Linked DNA regions of Canis lupus familiaris. The protein of the gene in region 1 binds, or shares a complex with, the protein of each later gene. Links are inferred from orthologs where the notes say so. Each region holds a gene or a part of one and is shown in the gene's direction. Other genes may lie near its edges.

Region 1 (3,756 bases):
GTTCACACTCCGACACGTGGGCTTCCTCTGCTCGCTCCGGCGGCGAGAGGCCGCGAGACGGGGCGGCCCCACCGAGGTATTTCCTGTCAGTCCCAGGCGCGGGCCATGCGGTCACAGGATTTCGGCAGTTTTTAAAAATCGAGGGGGGACGTTATCGTGCTGTCATAATCCGGTGATATGCAGGTCGGTTTTTTTTTTTTTTTTCTTTTTTTCCTTTCGGCATTTCCACCACGGAAGTACTAGCACGCTAGTAAGGGGCCGAACCTCGGGGAAACTTAAGCCCAGGGCCTTTTAGCTGTACCGGTGGAAACGACTCAGCCGGTTCAGGGGTCATTAATTCTGAAATGTGTTAGCAGCGGGCTCAAAGCAGCTCTCCCCCTTTAGGAACACGTACACGATCTTGCCGGCGAAGGGCCCGGCCTTCGCGACGCGAGAGGAACCGACGCCTCTGAGCGCCGAGTCCACGACGAGCTCACGCCCCGAGATGACTCCGCATTTAAACTCTGCCCGGAGTCCGAGCGCTCCGGGGGCCGGAAGCGGGGCCACGTGACCGGTCCGCCTCCGCAGCCATTGCTAACGAGGCAGCCGCCAGCGCCCCTTCTGTATTTCCTCGCTTCTCCAAGCGCAGGGAGACGCAGAAACACCTGACAAGAGTTGGCTGCCAGGTAGCTTTGGACTTGAGGGTCAACACCACTCATGCTATGTCCAGCGATACTTTGCAAGCCCCTCAGCCTAAAACAGCTGTGGGGCACTTCCGCCTGGGTGGCAACCAGGTGATCACGCGAGACTTGGGGAGCCGGCCGGACGACTCGACTACCCCAGTCCCCGCGCTCCGCCAGCCCAGCACCCTCCGCTGCGCGTGACGACGCGGCCCACGGCGGCCTCCGCCCCGGCGCGCCTGCGCACGCGGCTCTCGCGGTGTCTCGCGCTCAGCCCCGCCCACCTCTGCCCCCGCCCTTTCCGCCCCTCCCTCCCCCTCCGCCCTGTCTCTCGGCGGCAGCGGCGGCGGCGGCGGCTCGCGCAGCTCGTTGGCTCACTATATAAAGGGGAGAAGCGGGCGGACCGGACGGCTGGAGCTGCAGCCGGTGGCGGCAGCGGCGGCGCGGGGAGCGGCGACCGGTGGTGGTTTCCCTCCTTGGCGCGGGGTGGGGAGCGGGCAACGCCCCCCCGGACCCCAGAAGGGTCGTGGCTTTTTTTTTTTTTTTTTTTTTTTTTTTTTTTTTTTTTTAAGGGCGATTCTCGAGGTTTTTAGCTCGGGGAGGACTGCCCCCCTCCTCCTCTTCCTCCTCCTCCTCCTCTCACCGCTCCCCTTCTACTCTTTCAGGATTCGATTTTGTTTGAAATTTTTACCCCCAATCTTGCGGTGGCTTGGGCCACCCTCCGGGTGTTTTGGTTTTCTTTTTTTTCTTTTTGGTTTTTTGTTTTTAATCTTGTTTTCTCGGGGTTGCCCCCCCTCTTGTTTGTGTTGTGTGTGGAAATGGCGAACTCGGCAAATACAAACACCGTGGTAAGGACGTGGTTTGGTGGCCGGCGGGGGCTTCGTCCGGGCGGCAGCAACGGCCGGACCGGGCGGGGGCGGGGACGGCGGCGACTCCCGGCCTCTACTCTCCTCAGCCGCCCGCGCGGCCGCCGCCGCCGCCGCCGCCGCCGCTTCCCGCCTCGGGCGGAGCGGGCCGGGGCGGCGGGCGCGGGGGGGGCGGGGGGAGGGCGCCTCGGGCTGGCGGCGGCGGCGGCGGCGGCGGCGGCGGCGGGAGGAGGGCGGGGGCGCCGGCGGGGCCTGGGGCCGCCGCGGGGCGGTCGGGGCCGCGCAGGCCGTTGGGCCGGGGCGAGCGCGCGGCTCCGGCCGCAGACCCCGGCCGCCGGGAGGGCGGGCGGGCGGGCGTGAAGCCTCCGCTTCCCCCCCTGCGCCCCCCCCGGGGGCCCGGCCGCGCCGGCTCGACACGGGCGCCCCGAGCAGCCTCCACAGACAAAACCCGCGTCTGGGGAATCGGGCGAGTCCCCAGGACCCGCCGTGTGGCCCACTTCAGTGCAGTGGAAGGCGAACGGCTACTTTGGGGGTTACTTGGGATGTTTCTGGCGGTTGTGCTTATTAGGGGGAGCCTTCACTGAGGCCATTTTATATTTCTTAAAAAAAAAAAAAAAAAGGAAAAAGGAAAGAAAAGGACGAAGGTTGAAAAGCACTTATCTCGGTTCCTTCCGAATCGGTAAAATGGCGAAGGGGAAGCAACACCCCCCCCCCCCATCGTATCTTCCACTAGCAAAAGCACCAAAGCAAACAAACAAACAAACAAACAAACAAAAAAGCCTACAGTGGTCCCAGCGCCCCTGCTTTCGCCTTGAAATTTGCCTACGTCTCCCCCCCGCCCCCCCCCCGTTTGTCCCTTTTTGGTTACTTGCGATCACGTAGGTTTGCAAAAAGCAGTCACATAAAAACAACCTTGTCCGTCACCAACGCCAATGCGATCACTAGTCCACCCCACTCTTATTTTTATTCTGACCGTAAAAACACGTTTTTGTTTTTGTTTTTTTGTTGTTTTTTTGTTTTGTTTTTTTTCCCGGTCCCAAACGCCGCAGACGAGCCCGCGGCCGCCCGACTCCGTACCGTTGGCGACTCGGGTCGATCCATCATGGCTGCGGCCGCTTACCCTGCTTTTGAGTCCCTGAGCCTTGTGGTCCTCCTCCCTTTGGCTGCCCTGTTTATATAGAGCCATTGCCGCTCTCTAATATAGACTCTGCCAGGATGGGAAGGTGCTTTTCAGGCCTACGTCACCGCCTCTCCATTTAAACACTAGATCCGGCTTTAAATAGTGAGAGCTGCTGAGAGCGGGGCTGGGAGGTGCGTGCTCCCGAGGCGAGAGGCAGGAGCGAGCCGAGCGCCCGGTTTATATCTAGGTCCTTCAGCTGCCACTGGGATTTCGCGCCCGACGGGGCCGCTTTCGGAGGGGGGGGGGGGTCCCCAAGTTTTTTTGTTTGTTTGTTTTGACGCAGCAGCTAGGGTTTCCTGCCTTTGTTGAGGGGGCGGGGGGGGGGGGAACGCAGAATTGCTGTCCCTTCTTATATTTTTATCTTTGCTTTTAAAGAGGATTGTAGCTCAGAGGTCTGTGGTCATTTTTGTATTGGGAAATGCGTTATTGTTGGGCATTTAAAGAAAACGACAACAGAAACACCGCTTCCTACATTAACTCTGAGCTGCAGGGTACTTGATGACTCTGATAGTGTTTCGTCCATCGAGTATTCAGAAAATGTGTTAGAAATAAAGCTCCTATATGCCATTGTTTTTCTGTAATGTTAGACACAAAGCTTTTTTGAAGATAAAGTGCCTAAAGCTTCAACGTGTGGACCTTATGTCCACAGTGCATCTATTGTATGTAGGGAAATTGTGAGTAATGAGAGGGGAGGCTTAGTGCAAACTGGATTTTTAAAATATTAAAATTCGAAGTTGACGTTGTCTTTTGATTTCATTGGATATTAACGTTCAAGATAGAAGTTAATTTGGTTTATTTTTCCAGTATTCTGCCTCCCCGGGGTGGGGTGTGGGGGGACTGACACTTTGGAAAGGAACCTCTTAATTAATCATGAGATTAGTGGCTCTTTAATTTACCTTTTTTTAAGTTTGGAATACCTGTGTTTTGAAAGCCAAGAAAAACCTAAATTACTTTGTATTTTGTAAAAGGCAAACATTTTGATTCAAATAAGGTTTAGCATTTTAAATAATAGCTTGGAAGTTGCTTATTTCAGATAGTACCCGCATACCCC
Region 2 (2,167 bases), on another chromosome or scaffold:
GTGTTTGGAAAACGTCTGTTAGAATGGTGACACTTAGTTACCAGTTAACCATTTTTTTTTTCCAGTTAACCATTTTTAAAGAGCTTCTTACTTTTGTTTACTACTTTGAAGAATAACCTTGCTCCTACTGTTCCACAGGGCTGACCAGTTTGAGTATGTAATGTATGGGAAAGTATACAGAATTGAGGGCGACGAAACTTCTACTGAAGCAGCAACGCGTCTGTAAGTTCCATAGTCTTGTGAGAACCCTTGTCCCCCAGCCCTATTCAGATAATCTGAGCTCTGCTCTGAAAATTTGGGCCATGCTTCATGTTTCCTGGGTTGGGTCTCTCCCCAAGCACCTCAGACCTAGGTAGGACTTAGAAGGAAACTGTCTGTTCTGGAACAGTTTCCAATCCGAAATGTAGGCTGCTCGCTTGGCCCTTTGTCAGGACCTCAGGGCTCAGGGGTCCAAATGAGAAACTGATGATCTTGATATGGGAAGTGCAAAGGAAGGTTGCTTCCCCAGGAACTAAATGCAGCATTAAGTGATTAAACTGCTAGGTATTTTGGTATTTGTTTATTTGTGTGTGTGTTTCCCTACTCTGTAATCCAATCCCTAGTTCTTTGGTTTCCTTGCCCAACTATTCTTTTCTCTTCTTTAAAATTTTATTAAAACAGTATGTTCCCTTTGTAAGAAATTGGAAAAGCAGAGAAGTAATCTGAAGAAGCGAGAAAAGTCACCTATAATTCTATACCCATTGGGAACCTTTTACACAAACATTTTTGAATATTCCAGGTTTTTTCCTGTGTACTTTTTTCCTTGAGATCACGTTGTTTGTTACAATGTTTTCTTCTGCTCATTTGCCTTCAAGTTATATAAAACAGGTTTCCATGTGTCAGTTTAAAGCTTTCCTTAAACAATTTAATAGCTGCATAACATTCCAGTAAATGGATATACCTTAATTCGTTTGACCATTTCTGTTATTTTGGGCATGTAGCATTTTCCACTTTTGTTGATAAAAAGAACACTACTTTGCACATATCTGTGCATTCATCTTTGTCTGAATTTTGGTTCCTAATGACAAAACACTAGAAGGGTGTCTCTTTTTCTTAAGCTGGGATGGAGAGCGACTGGGTTGCTGCTGCTCCAGAGCTTAAACTCATGGGACTTCCATTTCAGCTCTGCCTATGTGTCCTATGGTGGCCTGCTCATGAGGCTGCAGGGTGATGCCAACAACCTGCATGGATTTGAAGTGGATTCCAGAGTTTATCTGCTGATGAAGAAACTGGCATTCTGAAACACCCAGGAAGCCAACCTTGCTGTTCAGTCACTCAGGCCTTGGACATCCTTTCGAGCCTGAGAAGCAGTTACTGTTGACCACCTGGTCAGAAAGGGCTGGCTGACTGTTCTCTGGGGGTACATCTTTAGGTGATCTGGACTCAATGGGAAACTTGCCTGTGAAAGACCCAGTGGGAGAGCTTAAAACGAATCAGAAGTTGTTTTGTGTATATGATTTTTTAATTAAACTTTGCTTTTTCAGACTCTTTTCTCCACCTTTAAAAAAAAATCTTTTCCATTACCCTAAAATCATTTTTTTTCCCAATTTGCCTGTGGTATATTCTATTTCTGGCCCACAGCCAGGTGATCACATGTCAATGTAGAATCTATTCTGGCTTCCTGGTATCTGGGTTTAGGGTTGTCTCAGCCTCTTGGTTTACTATCCCCAATATTTATCCTCCAATGTGATTTTCTATCTGGGAGAGAGAGTACTGTGCTTTTGGCTCTTGAGGGCACCCCAGCCCCGGAAGATACCACCCATTTGGCATAGAATTTTGAATTGGCAAGGAGCCCCGCTTGTGTCCTTGCAACACTTCCAGTCTCTTAGGAAGTCAGATCACGTTGATTTGAATGAGTCACTTGCACAGCCTGGAAATGTTCATCATTTTTGTGGAAGCTTTGGATGGAGGCTTTTAGATCCTGGCTTGGGATGCTACTATGAAGAGAATAGGAAGAGCAGATTTGGTGGGTATAGGAACAGGTGGAGGAGCTAGGTGTCTGTTCTACATTTCATAGGTGACCTGGAGGGAGGGTAAGTGGTGGGGGTTCTTACCAGTGATGCTGAACAGGCGGCTGCTGCACAGACCAGTGAACTGGACAGGGCAGCAATACCAATGAGGTTGGCAG

The links. Proteins that work in one complex are often made in the same cells at the same time.
Region 2: GTF2A1 (region 1) and POLR2H share a complex: the UniProt entries of both Homo sapiens proteins name them as parts of the TBP-based Pol II pre-initiation complex. The link is inferred for Canis lupus familiaris from reciprocal best matches to the Homo sapiens genes GTF2A1 and POLR2H.

The regions. Positions count from the first base shown.
Region 1 is NC_049229.1:53,872,563-53,876,318, reverse strand, and holds the start of GTF2A1 (transcription initiation factor IIA subunit 1), read left to right. Parts: upstream 1-1,271; 5' UTR 1,272-1,477; coding exon 1,478-1,507; intron 1,508-2,817; exon of another isoform or gene 2,818-2,836; intron 2,837-3,756. UniProt on the Homo sapiens protein: TFIIA is a component of the transcription machinery of RNA polymerase II and plays an important role in transcriptional activation. TFIIA in a complex with TBP mediates transcriptional activity.
Region 2 is NC_049255.1:17,412,796-17,414,962, forward strand, and holds the end of POLR2H (DNA-directed RNA polymerases I, II, and III subunit RPABC3), read left to right. Parts: intron 1-138; coding exon 139-222; intron 223-1,162; coding exon 1,163-1,280; 3' UTR 1,281-1,525; downstream 1,526-2,167. UniProt on the Homo sapiens protein: DNA-dependent RNA polymerase catalyzes the transcription of DNA into RNA using the four ribonucleoside triphosphates as substrates.